Linked DNA regions of Tamandua tetradactyla. The protein of the gene in region 1 interacts with the protein of each later gene in a pairwise test. Links are inferred from orthologs where the notes say so. Each region holds a gene or a part of one and is shown in the gene's direction. Other genes may lie near its edges.

The links.
Region 2: the proteins of ZBTB9 (region 1) and TSR2 interact in binary tests that used the Homo sapiens proteins (3 or more experiments, as listed by UniProt). The two-hybrid records come from large-scale screens. The link is inferred for Tamandua tetradactyla from reciprocal best matches to the Homo sapiens genes ZBTB9 and TSR2.
Region 3: the proteins of ZBTB9 (region 1) and PIN4 interact in binary tests that used the Homo sapiens proteins (3 or more experiments, as listed by UniProt). The two-hybrid records come from large-scale screens. The link is inferred for Tamandua tetradactyla from reciprocal best matches to the Homo sapiens genes ZBTB9 and PIN4.

What each region holds. Positions count from the first base shown.
Region 1 is NC_135331.1:89,435,968-89,439,716, forward strand, and holds the start of ZBTB9 (zinc finger and BTB domain-containing protein 9), read left to right. Parts: upstream 1-1,383; 5' UTR 1,384-1,567; intron 1,568-1,804; 5' UTR 1,805-1,883; coding exon 1,884-3,275; 3' UTR 3,276-3,749. UniProt on the Homo sapiens protein: May be involved in transcriptional regulation.
Region 2 is NC_135353.1:114,273,038-114,276,786, reverse strand, and holds the start of TSR2 (pre-rRNA-processing protein TSR2 homolog), read left to right. Parts: upstream 1-1,540; 5' UTR 1,541-1,580; coding exon 1,581-1,661; intron 1,662-1,823; coding exon 1,824-1,914; intron 1,915-3,749. UniProt on the Homo sapiens protein: May be involved in 20S pre-rRNA processing.
Region 3 is NC_135353.1:99,189,479-99,193,227, reverse strand, and holds the start of PIN4 (peptidyl-prolyl cis-trans isomerase NIMA-interacting 4), read left to right. Parts: upstream 1-1,362; 5' UTR 1,363-1,451; coding exon 1,452-1,494; intron 1,495-3,749.

The sequences.
Region 1 (3,749 bases):
CTTCATTCTTTTGTATGGACAGTTCCCTTCAGTCCCATCCCCCTACACATAAACACCTAGCCGGGGCCAAATTTATACTTATATAAAAGTTGTAAATATGTGAAATTTTATCCCTGTGCCCTTTCCTCTGCTTTCCCCACCTCAGGCCCCTACCCCTGGACCTCTTTCTTCCTCTCCTCTTTGGCTGTTGTAATTATCTGGGGTTTGTACTGTACATATCCGGGGTGTGTGTGTGTGTGTGGGCTGGGGGCAACTCCTCTGTACAGAGCTTCCTGGCCCTCCCTTTTGTCCCCACCCAACCCACCAAGGGTAGGGAGCTGCTCTTCCTACCTGTTTTATTTTGTTTTCTCGTTCTCCCTCCCAATCCAACTCCCAAACTTCTCTAACTCCCACCACTGTCCCTTTTTCTCAACTCCCAGCCTCATTTCCTTTTTTTCTGGAGTGTGTGGTGAAACAGAAAAATCATGTTTAATAAACGGAGATCGTTCTTTTATCGCTGTGGTGCCTTTCATAGGCTGGGACCTCCAGACCGACCAGTGCGATCTTCATTTTTAAAGTAGGCTGACAGCCTGGGAGAATGGCCATCTACCCCTCCGTGATGCTACAGCCCTCAAAAAATATCACTCCCAAACCAGCGAGGAGATTTATTCCATGCTGTTATCGAGAGCAGGGGTTTTGCAGGGACAAGCCAAATCTCCTCAGTCTAGCTCTCCCCGCACCCACTGCTCCACTTAGGAAAGAAGCGAAGAGGCCGGGATAGAGCGGCATTATCTAAAGGATTCCAAGTCTATATCTACATATATCTAATTTCAAAAGGTAATTCTTGCAAATAAGGTTTAATTGTCGGTTATAATACTCCTATGCCATACGAGGAAAGTCTGGTTCGTTAGCAAATATGGGTTCCCATCCCAGGCCCACCATTTATCAGGCGAGAGACTTAGCTTCGGTTTTCCTCTCCTGGAAGCTGAGGACCGCAATGCCTACTTTGCGGGGCTGTTGGGTGGATGCGAGGTGATGAGGGAAGGTGCTGGCCCACAGCAGGCGCTCAATTAGCCTCGCCCCCATGGGCACCTACCGGCGGGGGAGAGGCGGGCGCTACACTTACTAGCCGGGAAACGCAGCTTTCCGGGACGACTTACAGTTCGCCCCTTCGTTCCTGGCTTCCCGACCTCCCGGAGTGGCGGAGAGGTCAGCAGCATCCCGCTGTCCCCCAAAACGCCCGGGCTCCAGGCTCCAAGCTCCAAGCAACGCCTTTCTCACCTGGGCAGCCAATCAACCACAAGCTTGTAGACTACCGGCCTCCGATTGGCTGCGGCTCCGGCTGCGGCTCTAGTCCCGCCCGGCGTCGGCGTCCAGCGGGAAGGCGGTGGCTTCCGGCCCGGGAAGGCGCTGGAGCTGGGGAGGTGCTGGGGTGTCTACCCTGAGTGTTCAACGGCGGGGGCGTGTCGGCGGGGAAGGCAGTCTGGTGGTGCCCTGCGGTCTCTCGGTGACGGTGGCCTCCCGGCAGCCCTTCTCTGGAGCATCGTGAGGGGGAACGGAGAAGCGGGGTAGGAGTGGTCCGGAACAGGTGAGGTCAGGGACTTCCTCCTCCTCAGTTTCCGCGGGCTCTGGAAGTTAAAACCCCGGTTTTTGCTTGGTGATGGTGTTTTGTTTTTGTTTTATTGGTGGGGAAGGGCGCAGAACTGATCTGCGGAAACCACCGCTGATGGAAAAGTTTCCAAATTTGGGGGGGGGGGCGGTTGTTTGAGAAGACGTGGTTCCCCTTATCCAGGGCTTCTGTAACTTCCATCTCGTTTCTCCACAGCCTGTATCCGCCCTGGGGTCTATCCCCAGTCCCCATCTCCTCTTCCTGATCCTCTAGGATCTCTCTTTTCGAGGAGGCCATGGATACATCGACGCCTTGGCCTCCTGTGCCTACCTCCCCGATCTTCAACCCAGCCCCACGGACAATCCAGATCGAGTTCCCTCAGCATAGCTCGTCGCTGCTGGAATCCCTGAATCGACACCGACTGGAAGGGAAGTTCTGTGATGTGTCCCTCATGGTACAGGGTCGAGAACTTAGGGCCCACAAAGCAGTGTTGGCTGCTGCTTCTCCTTACTTCCATGACAAGCTGCTTCTGGGGGATGCACCACGCCTCACCTTGCCTAGTGTCATTGAAGCAGATGCCTTTGAGGGGCTGCTCCAGCTCATTTACTCAGGGCGCCTCCATCTGCCACTCCATGCCCTCCCTGCCCACCTCCTTGTGGCCAGTGGACTCCAGATGTGGCAAGTAGTAGATCAGTGCTCAGAGATTCTTAGAGAACTAGAAACCTCAGGTAATGGAATTTCAGGCCATGGAGTGACCCCCTACCACACCCTTCTTTCCACCACATCCTCTCCAGGAGGCTGGTGCATTCGTTCTCCTCCTTTCCAGACCATGGTGCAGTCCACTGCTTCTACAGATAGCCCTGTGGGAGGGGAGGGAAGTGAACTGGGAGAGGTGTTACAGATTCAAGTGAAGGAAGAGGAGGAGGAAGAAGAGGAAGAAGAAGATGAGGACCAGGGATCAGCAGCACTCTCTCAGACTCAACCTCAGAGAGTATCAGGGGGGTTTCCCCACTCTCATGGATCCCACCCACTGCCCATAGCTGTTACTCCACACAGGCTTCCAGAGGGTGAGAGTGCACCGACTGAGCCTCCTGCCCCTCCTACTGTGCTGCCCCCCAAAATCTTCTACATTAAGCAGGAACCTTTTGAGCCTAAGGAGGAGGTATCAGGAGGTGGAACTCAGTCTGGAGGAGCAAAAGAGGAGACCAAAGTGTTCCCTGAAGGGGACAGGGAGCTAGGGTTCTTACTGCCCTCAGGAGCAGGGACAGCATCTGGGGGAGGGAGCCCATCCTGGAAACCAGTGGATCTTCATGGGAATGAAATCCTGTCAAGAGGTGGAGGACCTGGGGGAGCAGGACAGGCTGTACATGGGCCTGTGAAGCTAGGGGGAGCACCCCCTGCAGATGGAAAATGCTTTGGTTGCTTGTGTGGGAAACGGTTTGCAGTGAAGCCAAAGCGTGACCGGCACATCATGCTGACCTTCAGCCTTAGGCCCTTTGGCTGTGGCATCTGCAACAAGCGCTTTAAACTGAAGCACCATCTGACAGAGCACATGAAGACCCATGCTGGAGCGCTGTATGCCTGTCCCCACTGTGGTCGTCGGTTCCGAGTCCATGCCTATTTCCTTCGCCATCGGGACCTATGCAAGGGCCAGGGCTGGGCCACTGCCCACTGGACTTACAAGTGACTGCTGAGGCCATACATTGACTTCCAGGACAAGAGAGCCACTGCTGCTGATGGATACTCATCTCTCATTACCCTGGCACCCCAGTCCTGGATATTGCAATCATGCTAAAAGGATGAATAGATTATGGTTCTGCAGGTGCTCTCTTGTTCTTGGGTATGGGCCTCAACCTGGCAGATTTGATAATTCAGATTTTTCATCTCCAGGTTTTTGCTAACCACTTCACAGGAAAGTGATTTACATGCGATATTTAAATAGATCACTTGCCCATAATGGACCTTCCTTTCCTAGTGGTGATATCCATTCAGGAAACCAAATTTCATATCAGAAGACTATTTAGTGAGAGAAGTGTTAGAGCAAAGAAGACATAATGATAAATGTATCATTCTGTGTCCGTGAGGAGGTAAAGGAGCTGGTCTCCATCTAGGGATACATTTGATTCAGTTTGAGTTATTCAGGGGCCAAATTCTAAACTTT
Region 2 (3,749 bases), on another chromosome or scaffold:
ATTTCTTTTTCTTGCCTAATTGGCCTGGCTAGAACTCCAGTGCAATATTGAACAGAAGTGATGAGATCACCCACCCTTGTCTTGTTCCTGATCTTGGGGGGAGGTATTTGGTCTTTCATCATTTCAAGTTATTTTAGCTGTGGTTTTTTTTATAAATGCTCTTTAACGAGTTAAAAACGTTCCTTTCTCGTTCTAGTTGTTGATTGTTTTTATCATGAAAGGGTGTTTGATTTTATCAAATGCTTTTTCTTCATCTATTTTCATGGTCATATAGGTTTCTCCTCTTCTATTCTATTTATATAGTGCATGATAATAATTGGTTTTCATACTTGAACCACTCTTGCAGTATGTTTGGTACAATTCACCAGTGAATCCATTTCTGCCTCAGTTTTTCTTTGTCAGAAGTTTTTAAAATTACTAACTCAGTATTTATTTGTTATATGTCTATTCAGATTTTCCATTTCCTCTTGAGTTAGTTTTGGTATTTTGGTATTTCTAGGAATTTGTCCATTTCCTATAAATTACCTATTTTGTTGGCATACAGTTGTTCATAGTATTCCCTTTTATTCTTTTAGGGTTGGTAGCAATCTCTTTCTTATCGTTCCTGATTTTGGTAGTTTGAATCTCCTCTCTTTTTTTTCCTTGGTGAGACTAGCTAAAAGTTTGCAAATTTTGTTGAAATTTTCAAAGAACCAACTTATGGTTTCATTGATTTTCTGTTTTCTTATTCTATTGTCCGTTCGTTTATTTCTACTTCAATCTTTATAATTTCCTTCTTGTTTGTGTTTACTTTCTTTTTCTAGTTTCCTAAGGTGGATGATTAGGGTTATTGATTTGAAATCTTTTTCCTCTTTTAATATGGATATTTACAACAATAAAATAAATTCCCCTCTAGGCATTGCTTTATCTACCATCCCGTAAGTTTTGTTATGTGTGGTTTTTATTTCATTCATCTCAAGGTATACTTTCCCTTGTGATTTCTTCTTTGATCCACGGGTTATTTAGGACTATGTTAATTTCCACATATTTGTGAATTTTCCAAATTCCTTTCTGTTATTGGGTTCTAATTTCATTCCATTGTGGTGGGAGCACATACTTTGTATGATTTCAATCTTTTAAAATTTATTAGGGCTGCTTAAGCTCTAGCTTACGGTCTACCCTGGAGAATGTTCCATGTGCCCTTCAGAAATATGCATATTCTGCTGTTGTTGAGCACAGTATCCTACAGATGTTAAGACTTTTTTAAAAATGTAAATTCCTTAGGCTGAGCTCCTAGAGGTTGATTCCTCTGCCCTGGGACCCCGGAATCTGTATCTTTAATAAAGCCTCCCTGCACAGTATCCACCAGCCGGGAAGCTAGCCCCAACCATCCTCCACTCCTGGCATTCTTCTAGTTAATTATCACTGGGGAGTAACGTGGTTTGTCATCATTCGCTCTGATAGGCTTTTCTATTGTTCTAGCCTTGTTGCCAGGTCAGCGGAAAAGCAACTTTCTAGTTTCCGCATCGGCCTTCCGCTCATTCTGCCTGGGCCGGCGCGGAAGACATTGGGCGGCCTGGGTATCACGTGGTCCCAAGGTGATGGCTGGTGGTAGGGAGGATTCGCGAACACTTTTTGCGGCCGGCATTCGCGCGGCGTTGGAGGCCTGGCCGGCCTTGCAGGTGAGTGAGGCCAGGATGGGATAAAGATTAGGGCTTGGGGCAGAACAGGAGTCGGCCAGGCGAGGCGCCCGAGGTTTAGCTGGGCGGTGTAAGTGGCGAGCCCCCACCCCACTCCAGGCCGGCGCCCTTGCTGACGTGGTGGGATCGGGCCTGTGTTTGCAGATCGCCGTGGAGAATGGCTTCGGGGGCGTGCACAGCCAGGAGAAGGCTGAGTGGCTGGGGGGTGCCGTAGAGGAGTACTTCATCCGCAATGGTGAGTGAATGTGAGGCGTTCGGACGTGTTTATGTGGAAGCGTGGAGAAGAGCCGCTCACTCCTGGAAAAGTCGGCACTTTCTCCTGGGCAATTGTCATTTTGTACCGGAGTGCGAGGTGGAATGAATAAAGGCTTAGAGTTAGAATCTTGGGTTCGAGTATCATGTTGGCCATGCCACTGACTCATATTCTCTGGACAAATCATTCCAATTCTCTGGGACTCGGTTTCTTAGTTCCTAAAATGAGTATATAAGTATTTACTCCAGCGGTGTCCAGTAGAAGTATATGTGAGCCAAATCTTGTCATTTAAAATTTTTAGCAGCCACATTAATAAAATATAAAGAAGCAGTTGAAGTTAATAATATATTTTATTCAACTCAGAATATTAAAAATATTTCTGTCAAATGAAACAGTATTAAGAAATTTTACTCCCCCTTTTTTTTTTTTAGTATTAACCTTTTGAAACGTGGCGTGTGTTTTACAATTTTAGCACATCTCAATTTGGCCTAGCCACATTTTAAGTGCTCAGTATCCAGATGTGGCTAGAGGCTACCAGAAGAGCTACACGTTAGGCTTCTGTAAAGGGTCATATAAGAATAAGGGGCCCAGCAGATGGGGCCTGTTGCATAGTATGATTTTTATATTCATTCTGTAGCCTTGGAAATGACTTCAGGCTGAGTCATTTCTCACATGAAAGTTTAGTATCTACTGAGGGATCCAGACAGAGAAATAGACAGTTACAACAGAGGGTGATAGAAAGGAGCTCTGGGTGGTTGGGAGAACATGAGACTAAGGAAAAGGTTTCTTAGGGGAGATGGTGATGGGCTGGATCTTAAAAGATGAGAAAGGGTAAACTAGAGCAACACCTGCCTAAGTTATGTGGTATGAGGAGTTATGTGGTATGAGGAGATAGTGTGTTACATTTGGAAAATGGCAGAAAACTCAGTGTTGGAGTAAGGCTGTTTGTGTGTGTTATGTGGGGAGGTTGTCATAGAGAATTAAGCTGGAGTGGGGGTGTGGCACCTCTTGACCCAAAACACTAAGATATGGAAGGCCTTATGTGCCTTTAATTTTAACGTTTAGACCACCATTTGCCAGAATGAATGTTTTGGAAGACTAGTTCTGTTATCTGTTCAGTGAAGAAAAAGCTTCACTAGTCAAATTAAGAAAAGCTCTTTTCTTCAGCTCCCACTTAAGAGTCGGGACACTTATTAATGTATTAAAGGCTTGGATAAAGTCAAGAACCACTAAAAAAGAAACCTATTTACCTTTGTTTCCTAATTTTCTATGGATAGAAACCCAGCAGAAGAGATATTTCCAGTCAGACTATGAAATAGTAGCTGATACAAATTCATAGGCAGATTCTAAGGTGAGTGATAGGTTGGGGTTTACTAGCTAGAAACATAAAAAAATAATCAGCATGGACTGGAGGGAGAATACTGATAAGAGGACTGTTTTTGTCCAGAAAATGAGGTCTGAACTAGGGCAGTGGCAATAGCCATGGAAAGGAAGGGGTAGATTAGGATCATGGAGATTATTTGACTGCAGAGGGGAAGGGAAAAGATGACAAGTTTCTGATTTGAGTGGCTGGGTGGACTACGTACATTTCATGGAGTAAAGGAAACCTGGAGAATGAGAAACAGGTTTGGAGAGTAAGGTCATGATGAGTCTGGCTTTGGATATGGAGGGTCTGAGGTGTCAGAAACATTTAGTCAGAGTAGTCTGGGTTGGAGACAGATTTGGGAGATACTAAGGTACAGTAGTAGAGAAAGCCAAGGGCATGAATGAGTTTCCTCAGGGAGAGCATATACAGTGAAGAGAAGGTGAGGAGCTTT
Region 3 (3,749 bases), on another chromosome or scaffold:
TAGATAGGGAAGGAGGAAGGGGGACGTGATCCTAAGCCCCATAACAAAAAGTTCCTTTTAGTGCGCACATACCTAGCCCTCACTTAGGTGGGCACCTGAAAAGAACAGATGAAAAGTGCATCTCATCAATCCCTTATTAGCATAGCCAAAGGGGGAAGGGCCCCTCCAAGATCTTACAATGCAAGGATCTCGACCTCAAACTGCTTATCCTTTGGAAAATGCCTGCGCTCATCTTCAAGCAGGTACCTTTGCTGAGCATTAACGTTTAACCACTGGCTAGTCTTTGGATTCTTTGGCTGTACATACTGACTAGTCCTCAAGTTCTTTCATGCTGCTGAGTCAAGAACCTTCACGGCATCAGCCCTTGCTCAGGGTCTAGATTTCTCTACGAATTTCCCGGGGTGCTCCGGCATCGAACTTATTAAACTATTTGTCTGTACACATTGACTAGTCCTTACATTCTTTCCTGAGACTGAGTCAAGAACCCTCATGCGCAAGCCCTTGGCTGAGGTCTCGATTCTTCTGAGAACTCCCAGGGTTGTCCAGCTTCACTTCTACATTATGCTGCACCATTATAGAAAGGTTGAAAAATACACAGAAGAATATACAACCATCTCTGTACTAGCACCACTGGTCATATTTTGCTGTAGAACCTTTCTGTCTTTTATATGCAGGTATTATATAGTACATTACATACTTTAAAAAAAACGGAATCATATTCTATAACTTGGTCTGTACCTTCCTTAAGGGCATATCTGTACACACTACCTTACAATCACTATTTTAAATGGCACGTGGTATCATTTTGTATGGCTGAAACATTTATTTAAGCAGAACCCTACTGAGGGACGTTTAGACTGTTTCCAATTTTTCTCCATTACAGAGTTCTGCAAGGGTGATAGACTTTTTGAAAAATTACCTTTTGGACCCAATCGGCTACAGCTGCAAACTAAAACTGAAAACCGAAAAACCTCAAGGGAGGGTAGGTCTTTGTGTGACAGCGAGTGGGACAAGGGGACTACCACGTTGCCTCTTCTCGCTCTCGTTTTGTCTGGCAGCCTCACCGTACAACCCATACCTGGCGCTTAGGGACTGCTGCTTCACTACTCCGGCGGGGAGATGGGGGGCGGGGGAGCGAGGAAACTGATGCAAACAAAGCTGTGAGAAAGACATAACAAAAATCGCCAAGGCGGAGTTTGCCTGCCACGATTCTACTTTTGGGTCCGCCCCCTACTCGGATCCAAGCTTCTCATTGGTCAGACCTCTTCAGGCTCATTGGTCAGAGGGCCAAAGGACTGGGCCTGCCCTAGGCTGTGCCTGTTTCCGGAGCCGCGATAAAAATGGCCAATTGCGATGCTGCTTTCCGGCATTGTTTAGGACATGCCCATGAGGTCCTAAGGGGCTTTGTACGGCAACCTGAACGGTCGAGAGTTCATCAGCAAGTTTCGAAGATGCCGCCGAAAGGAAAAAGCGGTTCTGGAAAAGGAGGGAAAGGTAGAGCGGCCAGACCAAAAAGGGAGAATCTGGGCGTGTGAGGAGCGAGTGGAGGGAGCGGACATGCAAACCCCAAGGTCCGTCGGGACAAAGGCAGCTAGTGGCCGAGGACCCGTAGAGCTGCCATAGATTGTGTCCGGAGCGGCACCAGTGAGGCTGAGAAGACAAGTGGCGGGAGGGCCTTCTGGAGTTGTAGAAACACTTGGGGTACGATGCAGGTACTGTCCTGATAGGTAATAGAAGCCGATGAAGATGGTTCCTCGGAGGTGATGACAGGAGACTATATCAAGGGGTTATTGGGGCTCTAAATGTAATCTTATCAGAAGTCAGCAATCAACCCGAGTCCGCATTGATCGCGTTCCGTAAAGTTCCCTCTAATGCTTACGGAATGATGTGCCTATCATCGGGAAAAGGCTCATTCATCCATTGAACAGAAATGTGTCAAGCGCCATGCTAAACGCTGAGGATATAAAAATAAGACACATGGGGGGAAAAAAGAGGCAGATGAAGCAATATAGAGAGGAGACTAATTAGAAGCATTGATTGGGATTGGGGCTGCTCCATAGTTTGAAAAGGGGAAAATACATCAAGGAGCTTCATTAACTTCTATAGATTTAAATATAATAGCTCTGAAATGTATTAAGAAAATGAGATAGAAATATATGGGGAAATGTTTCCTAACGTAATTGTAAATTTATTATACTGCTCGCAGATATGGAAATACCAAGTTTTAAAAAAATAAATAAGACTTATTTGTTCTGCAAAAAAATAATAATCTTATCTCCCAAAATAGTGGGGAAGGAAGACGCATAGTAATCATAAAGTATTGTGCTGAATGCAGTGCTGAGAGATGCGTACGGGATATTATGAAAACTAAGGAAGTGCTTAGTTAGGCAGGCCCAAATAGGCGGTAGAGGGTAAGGCAGAGCCTTCCTGACAGAGGGTTCATCAGGAGAAGCACTGAGATGAGAAACAGTCTGGTGTGTGCCTTACAGTGTTGCTGGAGCAAAAACTCAGGACAGATGGTGAGTAGTGAGAATGAAGATAGTGACAGAAATTAAATCATACACAGTGCAAAGAGCAGTGGTTAAGAGTGAGGAGATGGCAGCAATGGTCCTGGTGAGAGATGAGGGTAGCCTGAGCTAAGGTAGTGACTGAAATAGAGAAGAAAACAAATTCTATAAATATTTAGGATGTGAAATAGGTTAGACTGGTGACTTATTGGATGGCAATGGGGAGGGACCAGGGATAGTTTTCAGTTTTCTGGATTGGATTTCTAACTTGATGCTAGTTCTGCAAACAAAAATCAAGAATACTAGAGCAGGGTTGAAGTTGATGAGTTTGCTTTTAGATATGTTAAATTTGGGGTGTCTGTGGGATATCTAAGTAGAGACTTTGTCAGGAGGTAGTTGGATATTTGAGTCCAAAGGAGAGGTATAAGCTATACATGTAGTTTGAGGAGTTTTTAACATATAGATGATATATGAGAGTGTATGAGATTACCATGGAGAGTTTACAGAATAAGAAAAGCAGAGGGCAGAGGCTGTGATCCTGGAGCAGGCAGAGAAAGAGGCAACCAGGTACAAGGAATGCAGTAGAGTGGTGTCCCAGAGGCCAGAGAGACCAGAAAGCTTCAAGAAAGAAGATATGGCCTATCTAGCACAGCAAAGAGGCCAAATCAGATGAGAACCCTAAAAACCTCTATTTAATTTTGGAAATGGGAGGTGGCCTTAGGCAAGAGCAGTTGGTTTCTATGGATGGGGAATGTAGGAGCCAGATTGCAGTGATTATAGGACTGACTGGGAAGTAGTAAGGCAGAGACAGGCAGTGTAGACTTTTCTGGAAAGTTTTCATTTAAAAAACATGGAAGTTGGATAGTAGATAGAGGAGGACAAAGGATAAAGGGAAAGCTTTACTTTGTTTCTTCAGAATGGAGAAAACTTGGGAGTGAGTCTAAGATGAAAGAGCCAGTAGAGTTAGGTGAAGGTATGGTGGAGTGAGATTTAGGAGATAATGGGGTCCAGGACAGAGGTGAAACAATTGACCTTTGAATAGGAGAAGGAGCACCTTATACTTGGGATCACAGAGAATGAAGCAAGGATGGGTGTGTTTGTAAAAATTGGGGCTAGGGAGGGGGAAGAGGTAGAGATTATAGAAAATAAAGTAGAAGGCAAGGGTAATTGTTAAGACCGAAAGATAGGGACTGAGTAGGGGTCTTGAGGAGAGTGATAATGGTTTGGAATAGTTATTGAGAG